Caenorhabditis elegans: one gene and its partner. The protein of the gene in region 2 purifies or fractionates together with the protein of the main gene of each other region. This does not show direct contact. Each region holds a gene or a part of one and is shown on either strand. Other genes may lie near its edges.

What was found.
Region 1: the proteins of F16G10.2 (region 2) and lsm-8 fractionate together in Caenorhabditis elegans (co-fractionation; one large-scale study listed by BioGRID). This does not show direct contact.

What each region holds. Positions count from the first base shown.
Region 1 is NC_003282.8:6,324,940-6,330,032, reverse strand, and holds lsm-8 (U6 snRNA-associated Sm-like protein LSm8), read right to left. Parts: upstream 3,508-5,093; 5' UTR 3,501-3,507; coding exon 3,417-3,500; intron 3,190-3,416; coding exon 3,074-3,189; intron 925-3,073; coding exon 828-924; 3' UTR 554-827; downstream 1-553. Other genes in the region: Protein seu-1, read right to left, coding at 21-266, 380-394; sqd-1 (RRM domain-containing protein), read right to left, coding at 4,598-4,722, 4,800-5,093.
Region 2 is NC_003280.10:2,373,427-2,376,911, reverse strand, and holds F16G10.2 (DUF281 domain-containing protein), read right to left. Parts: upstream 1,640-3,485; coding exon 1,526-1,639; intron 1,404-1,525; coding exon 1,161-1,403; intron 1,110-1,160; coding exon 925-1,109; intron 600-924; coding exon 581-599; 3' UTR 501-580; downstream 1-500. Other genes in the region: F16G10.3 (Lipoprotein), read right to left, coding at 2,592-2,607, 2,774-2,973, 3,018-3,154.

The DNA of each region.
Region 1 (5,093 bases), on a different chromosome or scaffold from region 2:
GTGAGTGTGAATCTACCAACCACTGCGTCTTTTGACTCCTTTTCCGGTGATCGATGACGTCGAACTTCAGGCGAACGTTGGCGATGATCCTGTGAACGTCTGACTGGTGAAATTGCTGAAGATCTGCGAATCGGCGACATATCTCTGCGTTGTGGATAATGAGCTGGATTTTGAAGACGGCGTCCGCCACCACCACTACCACCACGACCGCTAAATTGTGGTGTACGATGATCACGGAATGTTGGTCGACGATTGTCGTTCTGGTTCTGGAAAAAATGTTTATCGATTTTTACTTTATGCTTTTATTCTGGTAGGAAAGTTGAAAAACGCGCAAAAACTCTTGTTCAAAATTATCCTTTCCCCATTCTATTTAACTCACTCTGATACTGCTCATTTTGCAACTTCGATCCGTATATTCCGTTGAAATCGAGCACTGGAATATTTTCTGCAAGGTTATTTCTGTGAAATGGCAAAGTTCAACGAGGAAACGATATTAAAAAAAGAAATGTTAAACCGATAAACAAACGGTTGAAACACGAAAAAATACAATGACGTTGCAATTTGAATAAATGCATATTTAATACATTAACTATTAAAAACAAAGCAAATAAATATGTATAAATTTTCACAATATTTGAGAGGAAATTAGAGATCCAAAAATGGTAAAGAAACGATGGTATGAATACAAAACCGTCAAGGAAACAAGAAAAGAATGGAGAATAGTTTGGGAAAAATGATTTAAATGGGGAGAAGAAATGGTGGGGGGAAACGATGAGAATAACCAGTCAATACAACGCGTCAATGCAGAATATCGATTTGTGTGGAAATTATTGGGGAATCCAAATTGGTGCAAGTGGGGCCGCTTTCACATTTTCCAGATCAACGCGTTTGTCGAGTTCTTCATCGATTTCACCGATAATCGCTCTGAAAAATGATAGATTTTCAAAAAGAAACATTTGGAAAAATCTACAGTAGTTGCAGAATTGGTCTTTATATATATATACATCATAGCTTTAAAAGTTTAGTTTCAACTTTTGCAATGAAAAAGTGTTCCGATAATTTCTCCACCCCTCTCCAGAGGGAAACAGAACAGGTTCCGAACACTTTTTTCATGGAATCACATTTTCTTTGAACAAAGTTCGAACGGAATGAATTGAAAGGTGTGAAATTGTGAAAGTTTCGGACATTTGACGCATGTCTACATTAATCTTTTCCAGCTATATTACACTGACGAAAAGTGAGAAAAGATTTCATAAAATTGTGTTTTGAATGGGACATGAATAGGGCCAGAAGGGGTATCCTATCCAAAAATAAACTATTTCGAAATATGAGTATTTATCACTTGACATTTGGAGTGGAGTATAGAGAAGAGTGGTGTATCGGAAACGAAAAATCAATAAATATAATGAAACTAATCAGAAAACAATTAGGTATTGAACAGAGACTGGAAGAGCCAATTTAGAGACTTCAATAAAATAATCAATCGCATTCGCTCAACGAGGAGTTTTTTTTTTAAAGTTTTAGTTCGTTTGGAACTTAACTGAATATGTTTTAACTATAAGCGCTTTTCAGATAGAAACGACAAAGTAAAACTGAAAACTGAAAACCTAGTAAGCAAGTTGTGAAGCTCCGACATAGAATAGGAAAACGGATACTTTTTCAACATTTTTCCCATCGCGTTGTCCATTTTCGTATTCGTTCTCTCGTTCACTATAACTATTTCCCTCTTTCGTTGTTTTTTTTTGTTGCCGGCGAAAATGTGAAGAGTACAAACAAAATAAATTGCTGGTGCTGCTGCAAGGCTTCGGGCAATCATATTGGTCAAGCATCAAATTGTGATTGAGGGCGAGAAAATGCCGAACGATTGGAAGAGATGTTTTGACACGTCATGCTTCCCCGACTTTTCCGTGTTTCCGACCGTAACAGAGCACAAGAAACGACCAGTTGCTATGTTTTTAGACGGCTGCCGAAAGCTGAATGATCAAAGGAACAACAGAAGCACTTGATCTGGTTGTTATAGAACATCAGGTACCAGGACTACTTGCACCTTTCTTTTTTTTTTAAATGATGACTCAATGTTGACTGGCGAAGGTATGTCGACGGAACGTTATAGAAAATATTCAACTGGAAGAAATGAAGTAAAATCAATTTGATGTTTCTGAGATGATAACATTGACCCGTTTTGAAGTGAATTGAACGAGAAAATTCCATTCTCAGCACTGATAGTCAACGACCACAATTAAATCTTATCATCGCATGGGTGCAACATTATAAAAAACGGATGATTAATGTCATCGGAAAAGATTGAATCGAATAGAAAAAAAAACTCTTGATGATAATTGAAATTAGGTCGATCTGTTTTAACACAGAGAAACTATTCTAACGCGACAATTTAAAAAATCGATAATTCATTTGAAGCAATTGGTCCGTAGAGCACTCCAAAAGAAAGAACAGAAGAGAGAGACCGGGTGAAATAGAGAGTACATAATGACCAACGAGTTTTTAGATTCGAAAAGATTGAAGAATGGCGATAGAGCGAATTTGCAACAAGCAAGGCGATGTGAAGCTTTTTATAAGGTTTAATGGGGCGATGTGAAAAAAAAATCCAGATAAAATGCTCCAAATGTTCAACATTTGTACCCGGTCTTTTATTAAAAGTCCAACATCTCCTCTCAACAAGAGAAGACCATGGATTTTGAGCAATAAAAACTGTCTTGGTTTTTAACACTCTCGTACATGATCAAGAGCTTCTTTGCTGAAGCAGGCGGCTCCGCCACTACTCAATTGAAACAATTGGTCAGTTTTTCGATAATGTGCACGGAATGGAAGGAAAAGCATGCCGAGTCCAATGTTTTCGAGGGTTTGTTGATCGTTTGACCCACGGATTGGGTGGTACGGGAACTCGGAAGTAAAATTCATCGGAATAAATGAAGTAGATATTCAAGAAGAGACATTTCTAAACTCTTCATCAACAACTAATTTTAGTCGCAGAAAACCTATAAATTCCAAAAGCAGAGCACCGTGACAAGGTAAAATCGATTTTTAAATTATGTCCCGTCAATTTTCAACTTACACATTCTCTCCTCGAATAATATATAGTCCCAATGGTGTCGTGAGCACACCTTCCGTCTCAGAATACGACCTTTCGTGAGCATCTTCAATCACCAAGTTGATTAATTGATCGAATCCCTAAAATTGTATAATTGAATAAAATATTGAAATTTTAAAAGGTAACATAATTTAATTATTTAATCCGACACATAAGCTCAGTCTTTTTGAACAATTTCTTCAAAGTTGGGATTCAAAATCTCGTGTTTTATAATAATCAAGATGTGCTGCATTTTTGAAATTTCTTGACAAAGGCTCGAACCTTTGTCGCCAAGTGCAGAAGCAACATTTCTTTCTAGATATTTTACCTTCAGAAGTCCAACGATAACCCGACCATCACCAGTGACCACGTTCACCATCCGATTCATGTACGCATCTAGAGTTGAAGTCATATTTTATCTGAAAATTGACTTCTAAATATTGAAGTTTATTGTTCCCAAGTGAGATATTTTTCACGGCAACCCACCTGTTCGCATTCAATTCATGAAGCATAAAAATTTAATGATAATATAAGAACAACTAGTCCTCAAAAATTTCATTCTCAGCTTAATATCAACACAAATGTTTGACATGAATCTATCATACATTAAAAACGAATGTGACAACAAATAACATGTCAAACGAAGAGGCAGTTATTAGAATCGGTTGGGGGGGGGCTTTTGGGAGCGAATTTACGGGTGAGATTGGCAAAAAACGAAGGAGAAAAAGGGAGAAGCTTTTGTTGGGTGGCTGGGTGTTGTGAGATTAGACGAAGACGGGACACCTGACGATTCATCAGATACACTTCAATGAGATGAGGGAAATTAACAACTAACTGCACAATTCAATGTGAATATACTTGACAACTACAGTGAATTGCACAGTCTAATTGGTTACCAGTTCCTGAACAAAGGAAAAAGCACCATAACAACAACTAAAAGACAAAAATTGGGGGCGAAGCATACAGACTTTAGGGAAGAGAAGTAAAAATACAGTTTGTTTTCTGCCGCAGAATCGCTCAAAGAAAAAACGAGCGAAACAATTAAAACAACAAAAAATGACTGAAAAAACTGATGGAAATAAAGTACTTCTACACATCTAAAAAGGCGGGTGGATAAAGTATTATGTTCACAAGAACATCATCTAAAACAACAAAAGTATGTTATTATTATTCCTGGAGTTATTCAAATCAAAGATTACCAACGGAAAAAAGTTGAGAGTCGATGATAGTTTGGGTGAGAATCAGAGAAACAAAACAAACTGGTTCGATATAAAATTCAACCTCGGGAACAACACATCTCAGATCGTCATTGCCAAAAAAGGAATTAAAGAAAAACGCGCGTTAGAAATTTAGGGTCGATTTGTAACTGCTTTTGATTGAGTCTGGGCGTGAGGACAAAACAATTTGGACATTTTTTGAAAGATTAGGTAGGAAGGAAACAGGAATTCTGAAGAGGACTGTGATGGAGGCATTTCAGATGGTGATTGAGGTGATGTTCTGAAGGCACATTTAGAACTGTTGGGCTTGAGCAGTTTGTTGTTGTGGCTGCTGTTGGAAGCGTGGTTGGCCATTGTTGCCCTGTCTGGCTCCTTGAGCTTGTTGGTAATCGAATCCACTGTTATTTCCTGCAAAACCTGATAGAATAAGTATACTGATGCATTCCTTGTGGAATGAGTCACAAGACATGGAATCAAATAGTAACAAAACTAACTCTGGTATCCGCTTCCGTAACCTTGCGATGATCCGCTGTTGTTGTGATGTGCTGCACCTTGTTGGCCGTAATAACCGTTTCCGTACCAGTCTCCCCAAGCTGCTCCAGTAGCTCCGTATGGCATAGCTCCAATTTGTCCCCATCCAGCATACCATCCCGAGTTGTTATTTCCACCACGTCCACCATACATTCCGCGACCACCTGGCATACGCCCTTGGGCGCCTGGGAACCGTTTTCCTTGTGGAACTGCTTTTTTCACGTCACATTCGCGAGTTCCGAAGGTCTGTTTTGTCT
Region 2 (3,485 bases):
TAAGAACTAATACTCTTTATTCAAAATAAATTGTTTTAATCAAAGGAGAAATACGATATAAATATCATTTACAAATGTAACTTCGCATTCTTCCTCCAATTCATGAGGTGGCAAACTAGACTCAAATTAAATTAGTAGATCTTAAATAATTTATGAGCCACTATTTTTAGAGCCAGCTTGATCCGCGTTTTAGGCAAGTCATAAAACGATAAATGATCCCGTCTGCAGTATGAAAAATTCATGCTGGAAAGTATTGTATAAGACAAAGGAAATAAATAAAAAGTCGCTGAAACGGGGGAAAAAATTCAACTCTTATATTTTTGTGTTCTCTAGAACACTGCTCATGTATCACGAGATGAAAATTTGGAATGCTTTTCAATACATTTATGTATTGTTCTAATTGTGAGTTGTACCGTTTCACCCGGGAATGCAAATTGACATCACTTTTTGCTAACTTATTTTTTAACATATATTCATTTTTGGTCTGTACACAAAATTATACATGTTTCAAAAATTGTTTATTCGCAGAACAAGAATAATGTAAATGAATAATCCAGTAACTTGTTCTCCATCCATAGACCTATCCGGAAATATCAGCACTGAAACAAAAAAAAAATACTATGGAAATAACTTGAAAGTCCACATAATAACAGTGTGTAGTTTACTTTTTATAGATTCCTAAATCTAGCTAATATCTATATCTAGCTAATTCTAAATCAAGCTAATCCCCAACAACTCACTGCAAAGTGTAGACAAACCTCAAGGTTTGTAACACAATTTTACAATTTTTTTTGTTTTTTTCTTCAAGACAAAACAGTTTGCATATGTACAACTACTGTTTTCAACTGAATAAAACGCTAAGTTTACTTCAATCTTTTGAAATTCTCAGTAACAATCATAATTTTTAAATAGGCCCCCACTTACCACGCCAACTTTAAAACTTCAGATTTTTTCCCATCCATCGAACCATCTGCACCAATTAAACCAGCAGGAGGTGCAGCAAATCCAATTGGATATTTCGTGATCATCCATTTATCGCCATCACAAATGATTCCCAAAAGGTCAGTTATACTCTCACCATCGGTTCCCGTCAATTTTGAGGTGATTTGCTATAAATTGTTTCATACTTTTCCGATGAAAGATATTATCCTTTCACTCACAAATGATTGGGTTTCCGGCACTTCAGATGGCCGTGGTACTTCACTTTTATCAAAAGAAGAGAGTGCAAGAAACACTTGGTTATCGGGACAAGTTAACACTTCGCAGCCGTCTTTCTCAACGTGCTCCACGGGTGTGAGAGAGAAAACGATAATGGAGAGAGAAAATCGAAAATGGATAATGGACTTACTTTCAAACAACGATTCCAAATCTCCACACGGCGAAGTTTTGATGTCCAGGCATTCCTAAATACTTGATTTTTTTTAAAACTGATTTTTTAACAGATTTCCGAATGACAATTCTTTAAGAAAATTGGAATATTGGAAGCGCTTCCATAGCAGTTTAAATTCAGAAAAAAATCACATACATCAGGAGCCATGGTGACAGGAATATAGGCTTCATCCGGTGGAACTGTTCGCATGCAACTTTCTGTTATTACCATCAAGCATAACAGAAGGGAACATGACGTTACAGTATTCATAATAAAACGAGAAGTAGGGAGGAAAACTTTGATATAATGATTTTAACTACTAATCCATTCCTATTCCTATGCGTAAAGCATTAAAAGAAGTAATAAAAGCCCGAATAACACCTCGATAAAGCGGTCTTGGGTTTGGAAAAGGAATAAATTATGTCATAAAGACGGATGGGCTAATGAATACGAATCGACTTTCGAGAAGGGAATGGCGAAAGTAAAAAGAGCAAATTAGTCAATTTAGTCGAACTATGCATTCGTCAAAACTAGGCGTACATATTTGAAAATACTTATTAAGAAGTTAGTTCTAAAATAACATTTTTATGAAATCATTAAACTCACAGTTGATGGTGTGTTGGCAATACATTTGGCTTCCACGTGGCCAAACAAACACAGAGTCATAAACATGAAAAAGTACATTTTGAAGTACATCGCCCTTGTTCTTCTGGGATATTGGCAGAATTTTTATAGAAAGTGATTATCATTCCACAGTGGCCGGAAATTAGCATCCATTTTGCATCCATTTGCAGGTACATTATATGATAATTACACTGGTCTCTTAGAATTCTAACTGATAAGAGTTTAGAAAATTAAACCAGATAGTTCAGATATTTCAAGAAGTATATCAGTAGAAATAAGACATTATCCAGATAAAAACTTTGAACCGCCATAACGTTTTCGAGAAAGTCAGCCAAAAACCGTTCTTGACACGTCTAAATTAGATCCCTTTCAAGCTATTTCTTGCCCAAACTTGTCTGGTTTGTGTGATATTTTTATTATACATCCTCCTCAACTTCTTACGTCTTGAGTATCATTTCTCGGTCATATTCAACCCTTGGGGTGTCGATTATTGTATTCCGCGAATGTGTAAAAATCAATGCTATTTTTTTTTAAATCAAATCGTTTTATTCAAATGAGAAATACGATGTATCAATTGTTAATTCAATCCTCATCCAATTTACACTTGATCAGTGCTGAAACAATAAATACAACAAAAATGAGATAAGAGTTGTGAAACTAACTTAAAGACTTTCCAGTTTTAAACAAAAATTTTATTCTAATTGTTTTCGCGGTTAAAAAAAACCTTATTCTCACATCTAACTTGAAATTTTCCTAGAAACTTTAAAATTTATGACCCACCAATAGATCGTAGTCACTTTAGACTTCTTTCCGTTATACGATGCATCTGGGCCAGTATATGCCATGTTTCCATCTTTGACATACGCTATTCCATCAGGATAATTTGTGTATATTAATTCACCGCCTTCACACATTGCTCCAAAATATTCAAAAATCATGTCTCCGTTGATGTCGGCCATTGAATCTTTATTTATACTTCCCTAAAATAATTTTAAGCATTCAGATTGAAAAAGAGTTTACCTACAAACGTCATATAATCGGCATCAGCATCAATAGGCGCTGGTATTTCACTTTTATCATAAAGAGAAGAGACAGCTGGAGTTTTGCCTGCGGGACATTTTAATACAGTGCAGCCATCTTGGTCAACAGTTTGTACTTCGTCTAAAGTTGTAAAAATATCAAAACATTGAAAAAGTTAGTGATGATGCTCTAATTTAAAGGTGGAGTAGAGTTAAAAATTTTTTTTTGCTTTAAATGACAGAAAATGGACCCTAATAACCGAATATAACTGTAAAAAAATTTTAAAAAATTTTCTAAATTTTTTATGATTTTTTCAATTTTGAGAAAATCACAAATGAATGACGTCATTTTGGATATTGTCGCGTTTTCTGGCTAAATTCGTCGATTTTTCTCGATTTTTTCTCTATATTTGATTTGAAACATTGTTTGTCAATTATTTAAAATAGTTATTTCGAAAAAAAATTAATAACAA